Linked DNA regions of Coturnix japonica. The protein of the gene in region 1 interacts with the protein of each later gene in a biochemical or structural test. Links are inferred from orthologs where the notes say so. Each region holds a gene or a part of one and is shown in the gene's direction. Other genes may lie near its edges.

Evidence for each region.
Region 2: the proteins of MYOD1 (region 1) and CSRP3 form a complex in vitro, tested with the Homo sapiens proteins (2 studies listed by BioGRID and IntAct, with this or other methods). The link is inferred for Coturnix japonica from reciprocal best matches to the Homo sapiens genes MYOD1 and CSRP3.

Annotation. Positions count from the first base shown.
Region 1 is NC_029520.1:16,193,655-16,203,918, forward strand, and holds MYOD1 (myoblast determination protein 1 homolog), read left to right. Parts: upstream 1-5,130; 5' UTR 5,131-5,302; coding exon 5,303-5,863; intron 5,864-6,984; coding exon 6,985-7,063; intron 7,064-7,690; coding exon 7,691-7,944; 3' UTR 7,945-8,385; downstream 8,386-10,264. Other genes in the region: uncharacterized protein LOC107314671, read right to left, coding at 2,006-2,063; ferritin light chain-like, read left to right, coding at 1-142. UniProt on the Homo sapiens protein: Acts as a transcriptional activator that promotes transcription of muscle-specific target genes and plays a role in muscle differentiation. Together with MYF5 and MYOG, co-occupies muscle-specific gene promoter core region during myogenesis.
Region 2 is NC_029520.1:1,436,026-1,446,289, reverse strand, and holds the start of CSRP3 (cysteine and glycine-rich protein 3), read left to right. Parts: upstream 1-5,676; 5' UTR 5,677-5,800; intron 5,801-7,487; 5' UTR 7,488-7,507; coding exon 7,508-7,619; intron 7,620-8,872; coding exon 8,873-9,041; intron 9,042-9,236; coding exon 9,237-9,372; intron 9,373-9,992; coding exon 9,993-10,086; intron 10,087-10,218; coding exon 10,219-10,264. Other genes in the region: transcription factor E2F8, read left to right, coding at 347-484, 833-1,042, 1,405-1,492, 1,753-2,272, 2,593-2,805, 3,465-3,600, 3,745-4,064, 4,462-4,635. UniProt on the Homo sapiens protein: Positive regulator of myogenesis. Acts as a cofactor for myogenic bHLH transcription factors such as MYOD1, and probably MYOG and MYF6.

The DNA of each region.
Region 1 (10,264 bases):
GAAGCGACCACAGAAAGAATTTTCCCAGCTTGGGAACAGCATAGGGCCAATATATGCAACCATACACTGCACTGCCACGTTGCCACAGTGTAATAATGATGGGATAGGAGCAAAAATGAAACAGGGGAGGGAGGTACTTTAATGCTGTGGCTCTTATCACTGTGGTCCAGCTCTGAAGGCAGACCTGTACAGAGGAGGCTGGCCTGGAGACTGGAATTTGGGAGACATGATGCTTTATCACTTCTCCCTCTTTACACTCTGTCCTTCATCCTCATGAGAGCCACAGCTCAAAATCCAGCCCATTCCATTGTGTTCTTTAAATGCCAGTAAGGCCGCTAGTTACCAAAGCTGACAGAATTCAATGCATTTTTATCTATGCAATTCTTCCTAGAAACAAAAAGCATCTAGGCCTCTTCTGTCTTAAACTATAGGATTAGCTTAAGCAAATTATTTTAGCAATATATACAACTTTTATTAAAAACAAAAAGAACTTAAATAAAAAGAAGCACATATATGGGAGAAAACCCAAAGATTTAGTTTTATAATATCAGATATTTTATATTAGAAATTTTATATCAGTATACTAATACAATGTAATGAATTTTTTAAAAGACTTGCTTTGAAACTAGGCATTATTTGCTTATTTCTATCATAGTAGCAGTTAAAATAAGTAGTCCAATTCATTCACTTACAACCCAGCTGTTTCTTTGTTTGTGTACTTCTCCAAGATGAAGGATGCAAACACTTCCTCAATGGCAGGAATAAGACCAATGCTCTTAGGCACGTGGTTTAGCTCTTATATTGTCCTGTGTGGAGTCAGGAGTTGGACTCAATGATCTTCGTGGGTCTTTACCAACCCTGGATATTCTGTGATTCTAAATTCCTTCCATTCACCTCCTACAGGAGTGCCTCTCTTTCTCTATACTGGCTACCAAGGATCACCTAGGAAGACCAGCTGGCTAGCTCAGCTGCCTGCAGCTAGGTTGTGCATTGGGTTTTACATGTTATATACCACATTTTTATGCAATTGGGGTTTGCTTCCTTGAAAGATTCTTACTTTTATGTAACATTACAGACAGTGTTTCTATAATGTTTGAAAATAAATTCAGTTCCATAGTAAAAAATGGTACTTTGCGTTTATGCTGTATTCCTCATTTTATATTACAAGCGTGACAGTACTTTCCAAGAGATTTTGTGTGCGTCTATGAAATGACACCAGTACTTAGCTGTGATCGAGAAAGTTGCACAGATGAATTTAAAGATGAAAGCAGTAGACCACAGAATGAAAATAAATGCCAGAAGACTGTATTAAGGTGACAAAGAAGCACAATAACACACTTTCAGTAAGTGCTTTGTGACTCCCTTACACCGCTGCAGTTAATAACCCATTTCTGTAAAGCTGTTTAGAGCACTTAATTTCTGTTAGTGTTGCAACATGACAGATGATTACAGCACTGATGCTTTCCCCATCTTTCTAGTGCAATGACTCAACTTTTTTTTTTTTTTTTTTTTGTCTTTTAGTTGGGGAAAATTACTTTAAAACATCTCCTGTATTCTCCAGCAAAAATACTGCATTGTGCCACAAGAATGGTTTGAAAAGCTTTTAGCAACATGCTGGATTTGTCTGTTTGGGGTGGCTGCTCTCAAATACAGCAGTAGTTTAACAGATATTTCCATCTGGGCCGGATTCCAACACCCACCTTCACGCTGAGCATACCTTATTCAACAATTAGTTCCACTGACTGCAACTCAACATGAATAAGAGCAATGGAATCCGTTCTTCTCAGTATTAATACATAGCTCACTAAGTATGAATGGAGAAAAACTGCTAGTTGGGTTATTAGCTAGTGCCACATAGCTAGTACAGGCAATGTTTGATATACAACAGTCTTCTTTAAGATTTGCTAGCCTACAATACAGGAATTGGTTTCAAGCACTGAAGACCTTAAATGAATTCAAACAGAACAAGGAGCCCAACATTTAAACTTTTCAATGTAAGACTTACTTGCTGCTTCTTTTCCCCAGAAATACTGCCATATGTGCTTCTCAGAGACTCTTCTCATCTTTATCTTTGTACTTTTTCAGATTTTAGGCCTTTATTCTCTCTCTTCCAACATACTTTCTGGACTCTGCCTGAAGAGACAGTTCTATTAATTCTAGGTAATCTCACCATCAGCTGTTTTCCCAGTGTATCCTCTGAAAAAGAAAAAATCAGTTACTGTAGATAACCAAAGCTTTTCTTGTCCACGTGACGCTTGTGCTGTGAGGCATGTGTGTCTGTGATCTCTGTCAGCAGAACCCATCCACTGTGTACAGGATGATCCTCTCCATGCTTCGCAGTGCAGGAAGTACAACCTGCAACTCTCTTCTCAGCTTCATTTCAACCATGCCCTGACAAAATGAGATGTAGGATCAGTGTGAAACAAACAGGTATAAAGTCAACAGCATTTAAAGCAACTGTACAGATACTCTTCCACTGCTGAATGCTGTCATACATGTACTCCGTATCTGTTCTTACAAAGCAAAGCCCAAATTATCCAGAACAGTTGCAGAAACATCGCTGCAGTAAATATAGCATTCAAACTGGAAGCTCTGAAGAGACCTATTCTTTACTTAAAATTATGAGTCACAGCAACAGAGGCTTTGAAACAGGAATCAAAAATGGTGCATTTCTAAATGCTGCCATAAGAAATTCCTGTGGTTGTATGGAAAGGGAGATAGCTGCTGTCTGCAATCAGAGTGAGGAATTCACTTCAAGTCTCTTCAAGTGCCATATCCTTCCTCTTCTCTGGCCGCACAAAATTGAGAAGAGCATCTTGCAATACTATTCTTTGCAAAGACTTGTTTCTGGCCCATAACATCTATACGGACAAAACTATCCTTGGGCAAAATGCTAGAAAGACAATTTGAGTTTTGGTGCCAGCTGCAAGGAACGCATCCTCACAGAATCAGAGGCCAGAAGGGCCTGGAGATGATCTAGTCCAACCCCCTGCTAAAGCAAGTTGAAGCTGCTCAAGGGCAGCTTCACTGCAAGACAATTCTGAGCAGAACTCACCAGCTGGTCATGGCTTTCTCCTGACTTTTCCACTTAGGTGAGCTCATGCACTTCCGAGCATTCATAGGCAATTACTGGCAGACTCCCAGTATTGCCTGTCCAAGTCTCACCATCTGTTGCCACTCTGCCCAAATTAACCACTGCGCGTGCCAGTCCTCAAATGCCTTTTCCTGGGGTCAGATACAACCTAGATGCACACTCACAGTGGCAGATGACGCTGTAGCTTTAAGTAAATATTAGCAAAATTAGCATTTCCACTAATTAAACCAATGACCTGAGCAAAGTTCCATTGTTTTGAGTGGGTCAGCAAGGCCAGCACCAATGCTCGACAGCCAATGCACAGCTGTTAAACCATGCAATGTTTCTCATTTCTACTTGTTTTGTCTTATAGTATACAAAACATTGTTTTGAATACAAGTTATTTTTACTTTAGCTGTTCTATAAAGGTTAAAACAAACATTCTTGTTCTCTGCTTCCAGATCAAAGAGCCTCTATGATAACAGTGGAGTGTTTCCATGAGCTTGCTGCTCTGCCTCAGAACAGCTGGGAGATACACTTCTGCATGTGTAGGGCTGATCAATAGCTGCTCTGGATACAGTGAAAGAACAAACTTGTACAGAGCCCAAAACATCTACTTAAATAAATAAATAAATAAATCTTTGGGGTAATGACAGAATGTGACTAACAATTCTTACCTTTATCTAGACTCAATAAAAAACTGAATGACAGAACAACAGAAGAATCCGCTGTGGTGACAGCCCATCTGAGCTGCCACAGGCGTCGGGACCATGGACCCAACTGATGTTCCATCACCTTCTGAGATGCTCTCAGCTTTGCTGCAGAGCGAGCTTTGTCTTTGATTTTAAAGGAGTCCGAATGTCACCAGCATTTATAACTGCAGAACAGGAGATTAAAAGTGTCCATTAATCCCTTAATCATAAAGTTAATGAAATCACACAGCAGAAGTGCTGCAGTACTTCAGTACTGGAGAAAGACCTGAACTTTGCAGCTCAAGTGATATTCCAAACCCAGATTCCAGCAGCCTTGAGAGATGTTACCAAAGCCACACAACTCTTCCATATCCCCAACTCTGCCACAGCTTTCTGCCCAAGAAAGCTTATTGCACTCTTATTGCACAAGCAATTGGACTGCAGTGTGGTTACACGTGCGGCACAATGCCACTCGCGACGTAATGTCAATCTCTTCAAAGGCTTTGGAATTAAGGTAAGCTGAGCCTCGAGTTCAAAGGGGAACCTGAATCGCAAACGTACACATCTGAGCCGAGGTGCAAAGAGTCACTTACTGTAACTCAGGTGGGTCACAGCAGAACCACGGCCGCACGACTCAGCCCAGGAGCCGCGCGTTTCCCGCAGTCGCGGTGCCCCGTGCCTCAGGCCAAGCTCCGATAACCGTGCCCGAGCCCCGCCCGACCCCTCGCAGCTCCGGGGCACGACCCGTCGATGGCGGCACCCGTCCCCATCCTCACACCTCGTGGTGCGGGCGCTCCGCTGGGGTTCTGACAGAACAGCTCCCGAGCGGCGTCACGCGCCCGAGCGCCGTCAGAAAGCACGCGGCAGCAGCCCCGGCGCGTCGCTGCGGGGCGAAGGACGCGGCGCTCCGCGAGCCGCCCGTCGGGCCCGGAGCCTCTTCCCGCAGCTCCGACGGGGCGGTTCGCTCCCGTTCCCTCCGCTTTCCCCGAGCTCCGCCGACGGCCGCGGGCCGCTACTCCCCCCTGCAGGCGGCCGCGCCGCGCCGCAGCCCCGACCCCGTCGCTGTCCTCGCCCCGCCGCCCCGGCTCGTCGCGCCGTCCCCCGCTCCCGGCTCCGTCGCGGACGCCCCCGCCGTTACCGTGCGGCCGCGGCCGTCCCTCCGGCGAGCGGGGATCCGGCACCCGAGGGCCGCTCGGCCCTCCCCGCGCCGCCGCGCGCAACTCCCCCTTCCCCCCCGCAGGGGGCCGAGGCTCCGGGGGCTCCGTTAGCCGCGGCCCCCTCCCCGCCCCGCCGCGCCCCGCCCCGGCCCGCCGGGGGCTCCGGCATAAATACGGCCCCGAGCGGCGCTCCCGAGGCGGTGCGGCTGGGGAGGGGTCGGCGGTGGTGGTGGTGCCAGCAGTTACAACCCGCGCCGGTGGCCTCGCCTGGGACAGGGTGCGAGGACCCCACTCCCTGCCTGCCTTGCACAGACACCCTCGGGACCCCCCCGCGCCCCCCGACCACCCTCTCGCCCCGCTCCGCATTCCCGATCGCCCCCATGGACTTACTGGGCCCCATGGAAATGACGGAGGGCTCCCTCTGCTCCTTCGCGGCCGCTGACGACTTCTACGATGACCCGTGCTTCAACACATCGGACATGCACTTCTTCGAGGACCTGGACCCCCGGCTGGTGCACGTGGGTGGGCTGCTGAAGCCTGAGGAGCACCCGCACCACCACGGGCACCACCACGGGCACCCACACGAGGAGGAGCATGTGCGGGCACCCAGTGGGCACCATCAGGCCGGCCGCTGCCTGCTGTGGGCATGCAAGGCCTGCAAGAGGAAAACCACCAATGCTGACCGCCGCAAAGCCGCCACCATGAGGGAACGGCGGCGGCTCAGCAAGGTCAATGAAGCCTTCGAGACCCTCAAGCGCTGTACCTCCACCAACCCCAACCAGCGTCTGCCCAAGGTGGAGATCCTGAGGAACGCCATCCGCTACATCGAGAGCCTGCAGGCCCTGCTGCGCGAGCAGGAGGATGCGTACTACCCAGTGCTGGAGCACTACAGCGGGGAGTCAGATGCCTCCAGCCCTCGCTCCAACTGCTCCGATGGCATGGTGAGTGCCCTGGGCAGGAGATGAGGTCCTTCCTCCTCATAGTTCAGCAGCAGAGGGAAGCAGGGTCCCCACACGCCAGGTCTCTGGGAAGAGAAGGGAAGTCTGTTAGATTCCTGGGAGGAAGGTTAGGCAGTCCCTGTGTGCCTGCAAACACAATGGCCTCCAGGCACCTCTGATTTCATGCTCTGCTGTCTGTCCCTCAAAGGACAGCAGTGAGGCAGGTCCCCTTGGGTGTGGAAATTGCAGGGGAAAACGTGCAGGGCAACTGGTCAAGCATAGTGTTTGCTTTCTATCATTCATCGGGATAACAGGAGGATGGCCCAAGTAACAGGAGTTGTTTTCCTTGACCCTTAAGAAGGCCAGCTCTCCTCTCACTTGACCCCTCTGCAGACATTTACCAGCAAGAAAAAGAGTCCAGGCTTAGAGCCTTGGGTTATGGGGAGGGGACAAGGGTGGCTGCAGGACTGTTGCCGAGAACAGGACCACAAGGACACTTCTGCATTTTTTTTTCTAGTGGGGATAATAATCACTGAGCTGAGTTCTTGGGACTGTGAAATAGTTGGCAGGTGGGAGAGAGTTACAGAAAGATCCGCTCCTCAAAATGCAGCCTTTTCATTGTAGATTCACATACTGAACAGAAATATATTGGTCAGGATTTGGCGGTCTTTCTTTACAAAACCAGAGTAAGAAGGGAAACTGCAGGAAATCCAAAGGTAGAGTAGCGGCTTTCTCAGAGGAACTCAGGTTTGGAAAAGTCTTCCAAAGTTAGATCAAAAGAATTCCTCTCCTGAGCTTCCTTTCCTAAACTGACCATACACGTAGGGCAGTACTGATGAGTTTGCTGGAAAACCTCATCTCTGGTAAAGCCACAGCTTCTGTCATAGCAATGGTGGTAATTTGCCTTTGGAACAAGCATGGATTTACACATTCTGGTGTAAATCCATTCCTTTTTTTTTTTTTTGGCAAGTTAATTCTGTCTGCTTCATTCTACAACACAAACTTGACAGCATTTCAGCTGAGAGCGATTGCACAGATTAGCTACTGAAATACAAGATCAGATGGTTCCTGGACCTGTGGAAAAGGCAGCCCTCCAGCCTCACTCAGATTATTCTCCTTTCCAGATGGAGTACAGCGGGCCGCCTTGCAGCTCTCGCAGGAGAAACAGTTATGACAGCAGCTACTACACAGAATCACCAAATGGTGAGTATCTACTGTTGAGAATATGTCTATGTGAAGCACGGAGGATGGGGTCAGCCATTGCCGTAGCCTCCCCATGGCCTTCTCCATCCCCAGTCACTTAGCCAGGCTGGGGAAGGAGCCTGCCTGTCCAGCCAGTGAGCTGCTGAGGCTGGCAGAAGCACTGGATTTCATGTAAATGTATTTGCAAGTGCAGGGGATATGTTATATCTGCATTTCCCATTTTACAAATAGAGTGTCTAGGAACACATCCTTCTCTGCTGCTGATTTTTAGTCTTAACCCCATTTTGCCTGAAGCCTGTTCTAACCAGGTATCATTGATCCAAACTGGAGAGATGCCTGATGGAATTCCAGTCTTCCATTCCTTTTCTGAGGACTGAAGTAGAGCCCTGGATCCACCCTCCCTGAATAGCAGCCTGTTTCACTTGGGTCTCTCCTCTGTTTCACAGATTGCAATCCATTTCCTGATAACTGGCATCCTTCACTCATACCCATTTCCTCTGATTCTTTGCATGCTCTCAGATGTGCACTTCAGCCACTTAGTGGGCTTTTCATTTCTTTATGAAAGAACTACATCCTATGATATAAGTACACAGTGGGTAAATGGATCACATTTGCCTTTGTTTTCAGACCCAAAGCATGGGAAGAGTTCTGTTGTTTCCAGCCTCGACTGCCTTTCAAGTATTGTGGAGAGGATTTCCACAGACAACTCCACATGTCCCATACTGCCTCCAGCTGAAGCTGTTGCTGAAGGGAGTCCCTGTTCCCCCCAGGAAGGAGCAAGCCTGAATGACAGTGGAGCCCAGATTCCTTCCCCCACCAACTGCACCCCGCTTCCCCAGGACAGCAGCAGCAGCAGCAATCCAATCTACCAAGTGCTATAAAGGCAGGTCCAGCCGGACTGCGCCGAGAACAAATTGCTCCGTTCAACCATGCTCCAAGACCTGCTTTCTAAAACAGAAAGGACTTCATGGCTTGTTCCAGTTTGAAAGTATCATGCAAAATTCCTTCTATAACTTCTCAAACCTGTATTACTGCAAAATACACTTAGTTATTTATTGGTTGTTAAACTGAAGTTATTTAATATGTCTAAAGATAAAAGCATATACGGGGAAATGGCCAATGTTTAATCTGGGCTTTGGAGAATAGGAACCTGGCTCTTGAATATGGAGGAGAAGAGAAATCTACAACAGCTGTGGCATGACAGATCCTTCTTCTTATTACCCCTGTTCTGGCCAAAATAAGGTTGTGGACCATTTTTTATAAAACTTTTTGTATAATTGTAAATAAGAGTTGCTTTGCAAAAAAAAAAAAAAAAAAAAAAAAAAAAAAAAAAAAAAAAAAAAAAAAAGGAGAGAAAAAGGGAAAAAATGAAACAAAAGCTAAAATTAAAAACAAAACAAAAATAGGAAAAATTTTAAAAATATATATTTAATGTTGCTTGGTTTGTTGTGCCAAACTTTAACTTTATATATTTATACGATGTGATTGCCAAGAATGTTTTCAACAGTATTCTAAATAAAGACCCTTATTTATAAAATCTGTGGCATTATCTTGACTTTCATTAGAGCCTCTAGAGTTACTGGTGCATTTAGGAGCAGTGTTAAGATCGCTGCCTTGGCAGGAAGAAGATACAGGCTCTGATTCAGCAAAGAAATCAAGTGCTTGCTTCAGCTGCGCTACATTCAGTTACTTTGTGCAAAGGCATTGCTGAAAAGGGGTCGACTTTCTTCCTGTGGTATCCCAGTGAGTTCTGAACCAAGTCTTATGTGTCAGTGGTCTTCACTAAGAATGTCTGTGAGGTAAATTAAGCATATTTGTCTTGTTCCCCCAAGTTCACTATTACATGACTAGAGCTTACAAAGCTGTGATAGAAGTGGGAGTCCTAATAAATTAGACTCTCGAGATTCCATTGTAGCTACTATAAATTAAATTATAAGTTAAAGCCTTACGATGACATTTTGCAAGATCAGGTACTACATTCCCAATCAAATATACAGATTTTCCATTCAAGATGTAATTTTAAGTGCCTATACCATATTCATATACACTCAGGTACTAGAAAAGACTTAGAAGTAGCTTTCTGTCACAAAGTTCAAGGTACAGATCAGAGTTTTCCTCAAGTTCAGGTTGGAATTTAAGCCCAAGATTGGCAGTTTTAATTTGGATTTGAACTTTAAGCATCTCTGGCAGCACTGCTCCAGGGATTTGCTTCTTGTTTAGAGCCTTTCTAAAAATAACTGGTGGGGTATGTTTCATTCAGTGTATACATGTAACCTTGCAAGCTTGCCACAAAACTGAAAAACATGAAGCTCTAAGCAGATTGTCATTGATAAGAAAGTATCAGGGTGTATGTGTACATTTGGACTAGAACAGCCAGTTGCTGGAGCCCACACACAACAACCTGCTCCTTGTCACATTGCTGTGGTTCTTGTTTAAAGAACAGTCAAACAAATAAACAACAGATACCATCATCAGCTCTAAACATTTGATGACAGATCAGTCACTGTATTCTCCCTTAGGTGATTAGTACTGAAGGAATTTGTGCAGCTTGTACCTCTTCAACAGGAGGAGCAGCTCCTCAAAGAGAGAAGCAACTCATGGGCTCCCTCGTGGTGTGCAGTGGTGACCACGGTGGATGATGAATGAGGGCACAGAGGACACAGGGCTGCTGTGCAGGCATGTTGAACTTGGCTGGTCATAGAGGCTGGGGCAGGACTGCCCCCTCAGCACCTTAGCTAACATCCAGCTTTGTAAGGGTCTCCTGTTGGCTTTGCTGTGGGCAGAAAACAAAGTCCAGCTTTGCTGTGGGCAGAAAACAAAGTCCAGCTTGTAAATGTTCAGCTTTTCCTTTTTTTATTCCCCTTATTGGCGTTCATTCCCCACCCCCACCCCCTTCCCCCCCAAAACTAAGAATTAAATGAATTTCGGTGTTATAATTCATACAAGCATGAATCAGGAGCAACTGCTAAGACCAGAAAAAAGTCCCACTTTAGTCTAACTGGAGGCAGTGTCAATAACTCACAAAAACTAAGGAAACACAGTCAGATCCTCACAAATCAAAGCTTCCCATACAGGTGATAATTCCATTGCCTCTAGCAAACAATCAGGCCCATGCACAAAAGCTGCTTTTGAGAAGTACTACAGACCTTGCCATCCCCCTGCTCTGAGGCAGGTGGAAGTGTCATTACTTCAAATGTACAG
Region 2 (10,264 bases), about 15 Mb from region 1:
TATTGGTAGTGATTTCCCAAGCAACTTGTCACACATTTCAGCATCATTTCAGCAAAGATGCCCCATGCAAATAAGTGTTCAGGTCACACAACTTACTCGATGGAAGCCTAACCAAATACTGTCAAAGTGCTGCTGATAGCTTAAACATGGGTTTCACTTCCTCACAATGCTGTAACTGCTGATTGTCTCTTCACTATTTGACCCTTCTTTCGGTTCCCTGCTCGTTTCCTCCTCTTCCCCTCCATTCAAACATAAAGGTACTTCGAGGTCTAGGCTGATGTATTCTAATAGGTGAGAATGTTAGTGACTTGTTATTAAAAACTGCTCTGCTTTGTGTCTATTTCAGCTAAAATCAGGAGACTTTATGATATAGCAAATGTTCTCAGCAGCCTCGAGCTTATCAAGAAAGTTCACGTCACAGAGGAGAGAGGCAGAAAACCAGCATTTAAATGGACAGGACCCGAAGTCCCACCAAACACCCAGGGTACGTATATGTGTCTTTTTCTTTTGCTGTGCTGATGATTCTGATTTCTTCCTTTGCTCTCCTAGAAAGCTGTTAACTGAAATACTGAGGAAAAGAAGCAGAAAGTCCTTGATGTTCACATTGTTGCTCTTGGTTCTGAACAGCACAATGTTTCCTGGAGCAGCTCATAGGAGCCTCATAGTTTATGTTCTTATGCTGAGACTTGTGTTTCCATTTTTGCCAGTGTCTGATACTTCAATAGTTATAATTCACGCTCAAATAATTGCTTTTAATTACTGAATACATTTAATATTATATTTGAATATATATATACGCTATACAAACTCTTCTATTTGTTCTTCTTTTTAGATACAAGGCTTGAAACAACATCCGCACCCTGCATCTCACAGATATCAGAACCCACCAATTCCAAGGAGCAATGCTCAAAAAACCTTTTTCCTTCAAGAATAAAGCAGAACTTCACTCGGCATCCCTCCCTAATCAAGTTAGTTAAAAGCATAGAAAGTGACAGAAGGAAGATCCAATCTGCTCCAACCAGCCCAGTTAAAATAAGCCCAAGTATGTAGCTGAAAACTTTATTTGTCTCTCTCTTTCTAGTCATGTTTTTCACTTGAATGTGGAGTCTTGTACTAAATATACAGACTTGCCTTCTGATAGAAGATGTGGATGAGTGAATAAGTTAAAACACCTGTTGTTTGAACAAGTCAGAAACAAACAAGATGGGGGGAAATGAAGTGTATGTTGTCTGTAAATCTTGAAGCTTTATGAGACTGATAGTGGGAACAAATGTAACACATGTTCCGAGAATCAGCTCTGCAATTAGTAGAAACAAAGTAGAAATAATGCAGACTCAAGATAGAATTACACTTAAACATTAGGATACGTTATCAGTTCTGTTGGTTTTGTTTTCTCCCTTGAAGCAGGTACAGATGAAAACGTATCAGCTTATACAAGTAAAGTGTCTCAGCTCGCAGCAGTTCCTCAATATCAGCTGGAAGAACCACCAAAGTAAGTTTGCGCAAGTGTCATGTTTGGAAGCTTTTTGTCACTGACTGTTAAGTTCAATCTCTGCTTAATTTGAGTTGGGCAGTGATCTGCAAAAACCTGTAACCTCTGTTGCTCCTGGCTATGGTTTCACTTGGAGCTTTCTGTTCGGTTCATCAAGACATACAAATTCACACTGACTTTGTAAGGTAAAAAATAATTACACAGGACATTTCTGCATGAAAACACTAAACTATGCATTTTGACTTTTTTCTTGTTTTAAGGAGACCAAAAGACATGAAAAATAACGTGTTGGGATCTGCTTTGGAGCACAGTCTGCCCTGGCCTGAGGCAGCTCCCAAGGCCAACACTCACACTGCTGCACCCCCTCCAAAATTGCTTCTCACTCAGCCATTGGGTGCCCTGCCTCCGAGCCACCGCTCAGCATCACCAGTGATCCTACCTCAGCCTCATTCTGGTGCCTCCTATGCAGTATATGTGCATCCTTCTCAAGCCCACGCTGTGACAGCGTACAGCCCAAGCTTCATGTTGCAGCCTCTACCGTGTGCTAATGTGACAGGAATTAAAAGTATTCATCCAAAAGCATTAAGTGAAATGACCGCCAAGGAAGGGGACAATTGCACAGCCGCAGCTGATGCAGGAAAGGCCACGGCAGCTGAAGAAAGACCAGTTATAGAGCCTGAGTCTTCATCAAAGAGGTGCCTTAAGAGATCTCAAGCACTACAAGAGAATAACTTGATTAAAAAGTGTAGAAGTGATGAGGAAAGCCTTGAAACTGCTGTGGTAAGTCAATTTCTGTCTGTCTGGTTTATAACCTAGTGGTGGTGTCAATATGATGTGGAGTTAACATGATACACAAAGAGAATAGGAGGTTCAGATACACTTGATGCACATGAAGAAACGGGGTCTGGATAATTTTCCACTCCTCAGTTGCCAGATGCTTCCATGTCTGTAAATTATTAGGCTGCTTCAAATTGTGCTTGTCAAAACTGCCATGAAATCAGGAGAAACTCTGCTTTTCTGATTCATAAAACATGTGACCTTCTTAATTACAGATGTACTGTGATAGCCGTGCCTCTTACAGTGCCTGTTTTCTTTTAAAGGGAGAACTCAATAAACACGAAAGACCACCTTCCATCGGCTCACAAACCAACAACGAAATGGACAACTTCCAGGAAGAGAAACAGAGCAGATCTGAAGATCAAAGCGTGGAAAGTTGTTCTGAGCAATACAAAAGAGAATGTGCTCCAGAAGATGAGGACAGAGCCAAAGCTAAACAGGACCTACCTGTAGCATTTGCCATTCCTGCTCATGAGGTGAGCTTTGCCACACAGCACAGCAGTTCTTGCTGTTAGCTGGGAAAAGACCACGTGGAACAATCTGCAAAGGAAACGGAACTGGAATCACTACACATATATAGATTTGCCTTTAGTTGCATTACTATGCAGAATGCTTTAGAAAAAAAAGACTCTGTAGGGCCTCGCTACCCCCAGGCAGATCCACACTCCCAGCCAGTTTGGTGTTATCTGCAAACTTAGTGAGGGTGCACTCGATGCCCTTCATCCAGGTCATCAATAAAGGTATTGAAGAGGATGAAGATAACTAAGTAGATGGAAGCGATACTGAGATCTCATACTGTCCTAGACTGTTTTTTATAAATATTTAGTTCACAATGCTTTGATGTCCACCAGCAATGCAGTAAAACCCACCATTCTTCTTAAAAGAAAATAAAGAAATCCACATAAGGGTATCTGAGAATGAAGCTGAATGACTTGTGTGGATGAGGACTTTTAGAGCACAGCTATGAGTCAAACTGAGTCCAGTTTCAGATGGGAGCCAGTATAGGCATGGACTATCCCAAGCCTTGGGGATTATGAGGGATATAGGATAAGAGAGCGGCAAGGGGAGTGTGATTTTGAAGAAAAGCTTATATTTTTCATGCACCTTTGATGTAAATGTGTATTGTCTTTTTCAGACCTTTTTTCCATCTGGGTACCTTATCCCTCTAACTCAGTGCACTCACCATAGCAACAAGGCAGCTCTTTCTAATAGAGAGAAAGCTGGGATATGTTCTGTGCAGCACACCACTACCCACAGCTCACCCACTGCAGGTGAGTACCAAGGGATATATACACACAGATGCTCGGTTTGAAGGATTGTAAGTCAAAGTCATCCTACCAGAGCTGTGAAATCACAATGCAAGGCCTCTACTTTCAATTTTCAATCCTTCCAACGCTTGTTTTTTTCTGTTTCAGGTGTCATTCCAATGATAGCATCTGAAATGAAAGCAGTTAACATTCCGGCTTTTCATATAACGTCCTTGAACATCATGCTGTCACCAGCTTCTATAGCTGCTGCACCTGTACTGAACAACTCCCACCTCAATTCTAGCAGTAACAGTTCAGTCCCAAACCCAAGTTCTTCACTTCTGAACTTTACACTGCAGCACATAGGAGTGATGCCTGCTGGTGTGCAAGTCCCTGCAAACCCCGTTCTTCAGCACATCCCAATCCTATCAAAACCAGAAAGCACTAATCGTAGTAGCTCAGAAAACGCGACCTTACAAGAGGAAAAGGTAAGAAGCAACGTATTGCAATGGCTAAACCATAGGTTGAGTGAGAAATAATAATATCTTACTTGATGAGAAAGTGGAGCCAGCTGGAGGAACTGAAGGATGACAAGGTGTGAGGAGCCTTGGAGAGGACGCTGGATAAGAAATGACACATGCTTATAAACTGCTTGTTGCCTTCTGTCAGCTGTTTGTGTAGTGCTGAATTGCCTACAGTTGGAAGTGAAAGGAGATAAAACAAATCAGTTTATTAACATATATATATATGGGTATATAGATGTATAGCAAAGAAAAGGATGCTCTTCTCCACATTGCTGATAGATAGGAAGAAATGTGTTTGCTAACATTCTGCACATACCTACAACTAGAATGGACTGACACTGATCTCTCCCTTTTCTTTTAGCCCCCTGTGCCAAAGGAAGCCCCGGAGCCTCAGCCAGTGACAGAAAACTTCTTCCGCACACCAGGAGGACCAAACACAACCCCGTCACTGTCTGCAACCTCAGGTGGTACCGACACAACCCCTCAAGGAACCTCACACATTGCTCAACGAAAACTTGAAGTGCCAGAAAACTGATCTTTGGGCATCAAATCGCCGGCTGTGTTAGCAGTGTAATTACTGATATAGCACAATGCACATGGGATGTGTTTTGGATGTGATTGGCAAGACAACGATACTGGAATAGCCTGAACGCTGTAGAATTCAAACTGGCTTTACTATGGAAGTTCAGGCTAAGTGTTTTTACACAAGGCTTTTCTAAAGCAACTGAGTTTTGTATCTCATTCTGCGTTGCTCTTCTGCTATGCAAAGTAAACTGAAAGTGTCTGTACAGAAAGGTACCGTCTATCAATCAGTGCATGTTTTGCACAGAGAAAGTACTGTGAGCCTGTACATATTTAATGCTTCCCTTAAAGGCCGTAGTTAGGATTTCTTGTGCTCCTGTGTTCAGCTGCTCCTCTTTTATAAGGTTAGCTTTGAAAAAAAAAATCTTTAACAAAAAAAATTAAGTTTTTATATAAGTTAAGAATTATTTATACTGCGTTGTAAAAATAATTTGTTCAGACAAAAAAATTGCATCCAACTCATTTTGACTTTTTTTTTTGTTGAATGGAATTAAATGACTGGTGTTGCTGTAATATGTCGTACGCTGAATGGTGGTTTTTTGGTCAAAGAAGGATTCTATAGAAGGGGAAAATGGTGTTTAATCAGCAAGGGGCGTAAAGAACTTGATCTGGCTTTCTGAATGAGGGATACTCACTGTCACATAGGGCAGTATCCAGCAGGAGGGAGTCCTGCATATACACATATGTATATATATACACACATATATTTATCACTGTTTTGGTAAATTATCTTTGGCAACATGACTATGACTAAACCTTCATTTCAGGCTCCTTATGTTCCACATCCAAGCACCGATCCATCGAGCTTTCATCTTTATTTCTGATCCATTAGGCTGCGCTCAGGAATGCGCCGTAGGTGTCATCTGAGGGGCCGCATTGTTGTCCACCTACTCACAAGTGGACACAAGGGAACAAAATGCCAGGCTTTTGTCAGCAGCTATTTTCAGCTTGGTGATAGCAATGGCATTGCTCTGATCCCCAAAGCTCTCTCCTCTTTCCCCTCCCCTCCCTGCCTATAGGGCCAGCAGCGGCAGCCCCTGCCTTTAAAGAGCACAGGAACCCCTCCAGTTCAAATCCTTTGAGGCTTAAGAGAAGAGGGAGAAACACCAAGCCACACCGTAAGTACAGCACGTGGGGTTCTGCTGGCATTTGATAGAAGGGTTTGGGTCTTTTTCCCCAATAGAAATAGCACGAACGTGTACAGAATACTGTGCCTGAGCTCAGCTGTGATGGCTTAGACTCAGTGCAGGAACACAGAGAGAAGGATGTGGTGGAAGAAGAGGCAAAGCTGATAGCACAGCATTAGGTCTGAACAAAGGAACGGCTCCTTTGTGCTGCAGGACTTGGTTTCCAAAAGAATCAAATGATGCTGGGAGGAAAGGGGTGGGTTTTAGGTCGGTTTGTTGCTATTTGTTAAGTCATAACTAAATACTTAGTTCCAACATCAGCACATTCTGGGTTTTAGAGGTGCCAGCAGCCGTTTCATTTGGCATCACTGCTGTCTATTACAGAAGCAATTCTTATCTTTATACTTATAACTGATGCAGGACATCTCACTCTATGACTAAAGCAGGACTACAGGGCACATCCCAGGACCCTCATAGAAGGGGTTTCACTGTGACTTACTCCTATGGCTCCCCATCAGGTGATGCCAAAGCAGCATGGAAAATGTGCCTGCACACCCAGTCATGTTACCATAATTAGCTCAAGAGCCCTGGTTCTTCTAAGAGGTCTATAAACCACAGCCTGTAACAGCACAAGGCTCCCTATCAGAAATGGGAGAAAGGCTTCAATGGTGTTATTCCACAGCATTCCTGAGGAAGAAGGAAACAAATGCATAACCCATTCCTTCCATACAGCTCCATCGCATTTCTGCCACTGCAGATAAGCACAGCTCAAGGCAAGCTGGATTTTTCTCTCCCGCACATCATTAGCGCTTCACAGCTGTCAGAGCAGTGAGGGAACTGACTGATAGAGTCTGAAACAGCTTAACGGCAGGGTAAAACTGAAGCTGCTTTCAGTAGCTTCTATGTTACATTGCTGCTGTGTCAAACCCCACTCTTATACATGGCAACTAAAGAAAATTTCAGGCTTGAGCCAGAGTTCAAAGTCCTTCCCTTAGTTCAGAACACCCCGTAGTGGGTTTAATCAAATCCAAACAGGACTTTGAAAGACCTATAATAAGAAAGTGACTGGTTTTCCAAGAAGGACAGAGGCGGCCTGAGCCAGGAGCTCCAACATCCTGATAACGGGACGTGCAGATGACAAGATGACGGCACAGACCTTCCAGAAACAATGACTCAAACCAGAAGAGCAAAGCGCAGATTGTGGCTGCTCCAGCTGCGTGATAGCACAATATCAGGGCACTTACCCAGCACAGTCCAGTGACCCGAGCTCAGCTGCTGGCTCTCATGCTGCTCCCTCACACGACCTTGGGCAAGTCACTTCCATAGGCACTGGAATAGGAAACACAACACTCTCACCATCAGACTTTTAGATTTCTAACAGTGGACAAATAAAAGCCCCTTAGGAAGGGGTCACTACTTTATAACAGCAGTCACGAAGCTCAGTGACCAACGTGGTTCCATGACAGCATCCTCAGTAAGCACACTGTATCTGTGCAGCTTCACAGTGGAACTGGTTCAGATATGAACTGGATGGTGGGATGTCACACTGACAGAGAAAACTGCCATTGCTAAGGAAGCAGATCCTCCCTAGGGGCTACCTGGCAATAGCAGTTGAAAGGAAATAAAGTTAAGTACCACCTTTTTCTATTGGATTTACTCATCAAGTCTGATTCTCTAGGTTACCCTTCACATAGGAAGATGCCAAACTGGGGAGGTGGGGCCAAATGCGGTGCCTGCGAAAAGACAGTGTACCACGCTGAGGAAATCCAGTGCAATGGAAGGAGTTTCCACAAGACCTGCTTCCTCTGCAGTAAGTGCAAGTTTAAAACCACGTAATTCAGCTATTTCCATTACAGCCTGCAATGCTTCCTTTTGCATTGCCTTGCATCCAAGGAGAAACACAATGAAGATGCTCACGGTTGGCCTAACTCAACCTGTTTGCTCATGGGACGTTTAGGGTAGGTCTTAAGACAGCCCAAGCAACATAGAGGATGGTAGAAATATATCCCCTGCAGAAGTCTAAGGTCAAAAAGTAAAGGATGCAACAAAGCCTGGCTGGTAAGTACCAGGTATGTGAATTGGCTTTGCTTTCCCCTTGATTCACAAACACTGATCAGCAGCTTTGTACTGGATCCTTCAGCATCACATACCACGTTCACGGGCTTTGCAGTGAATCAATGATGGGATTTCATTCCTCCAACCTTAGTCCCCATACAGTTTGCCTACCTCGTTTCCCTGTCAGGTTACTTACAGCACAGCCATGATGGACATATAACAGGGACCTCATGCTATCAACCTGAAAGCCCCCAGTGCCAGCTATGTGCTGGCAGGTGGCAGATCCCAAAGCTATCTCAACAATAGCACTTGAAGGGCTTTTGCTCCATCTGTTGCAGTGAATTGATACTCTATCCCTACAATGACAGAAATAGAAACACTTTACTGCTCAAGTTTCCAGCATCCTCTAACTCCCACAGCAAACATAATGACCATCTCAAAGCTGAAGAGACCACAGTTTGTATGTTTAAAAGGAATCAAATAAGGGCCTTCTGTAATTAAAGAGCATCTCTCTTGATGGGGTGGGGGCTGCCACACTCCCAGCTCCCAGTGTATGCAGACACCAAACACACACAGCGTCACTATTGCTTTCTCCCCATTCATTAGTGTCTCAGTTTCCAGGCGCACGCAGCAAGGAGACTCACTTGCCTGGTAACAGAATCCACTCATTGAAGGCAGATCAGGTTTCAGATCTGCAAAGCACAGCAGAGAACTTAGAGATCAACCTGCCTTCCATACCCATCTGATGAGACTCAGCAGACATAAGAGTGGCCTTAGCAACGGCTCTTGGCTCCACGTGCCATCCATGCCTTTCAGATAAGGGACACATGCCTACCAAGACAAGCAGCTGCTCGCACTCAGAGACTTCAGGTCCATTCAACCAGAGTCTAGATTTAAAGCAGTGACATAGAGGGTACAACTTGCACTCTACTGCGTGCCACTGTCACGGCACATTCTGTCCCCAGGTCTACTGATATTTACCCTTTATGCCTCTCTTCCTTCTGGCAGTGGCTTGCAGGAAGGCTCTGGACAGCACCACAGTGGCAGCTCATGAATCTGAAATCTACTGTAAGACTTGCTACGGGAGGAAATACGGCCCCAAAGGTGTTGGATTTGGACAAGGGGCTGGATGTCTCAGCACTGACACTGGGGACCATCTGGGCCTGAACCTGCAACAGTGAGTCCAACCCTAATGGCAGCACCATGTGTCTGCCTGGTGCTACCTGTCACTCAGGGCTGTTTCAGGTACCCTGTAACAGAGGTATTTTCCAATCACAATGATTTCCTGACTCTGTAACAGTGTCTTTTCCATGCTGGACTTGTTGATCTTAGCAGTCTTTTCCAACCTTAACACAGCAAACTTGTGTTTTAGGGGATCACCAAAGCCTGCTCGCCCTTCTACACCAACTAACCCTTCCAAGTTTGCCAAGAAGGTGGTTGATGTGGATAAATGTCCCCGCTGTGGCAAATCAGTGTACGCTGCAGAGAAGATAATGGGAGGAGGAAAAGTAAGTAAAAAGGTTACTAAAAATACAAACAAACCCTTTTCCCCCTACACTGATTAGCTATAACTAATAACCCTTGAAGATTTTGCCTGGTTGATGAAGAAAACATAAGGTTGAATAAGCAAAACATCCAACGTACTGACTGTCAGATTTCAAGTCACATTGAAGCTATGCTTTTCCATAAGCCTACAACATTTTGCATCTTAAGGTCTGAGGGTCAACCCTTCCTTTTTGGCTCCTGCTGTCATCCTGCTATAACATCTCTTGGGACAGTTATAATCTAAACATTGATTTGTAGGGGCAAATGCAGATATATTAAAGAGATCCTATGACCAGAAAAAACAGCACTGTGATATGCTGGCCCTCTGCTCTAGAAGCTCTTACTCATTATCACACCATGATGTGGCCAAGGAGAGCGCTATCTACAGCTCTCTGCTTTTTACCAGAGTTCCAACAACAAGAAGCTCATTAAATAAGATCCTAAAACTAATCTAAAAAGTACTGAACTTGTAAGCCCAGGAAGACAAAATTAACCTCACCGCACAACAAGAAGCAACAGCTGTTCCTTGCATCCACTAGCTCTGCATCTTCTGTAATATAACAAACCATCTTCATCCCTTCAGCCTTGGCACAAAACATGCTTCCGCTGTGCTATCTGTGGAAAGAGTTTGGAATCTACAAACGTTACAGACAAAGATGGAGAGCTCTACTGTAAAGGTAAGAATTATTCCTTTTAGACCTAATATTGCTGTTGTGATTTGCCTTGCTGCATTGCTTGATAACAACAAATCACAAAAGCCACTTAGGGAAGCATTCACAATACTCTTTACCTTTTCCTTTCTTTTGCAGTTTGCTACGCAAAGAACTTTGGCCCCAAAGGAATTGGTTTTGGTGG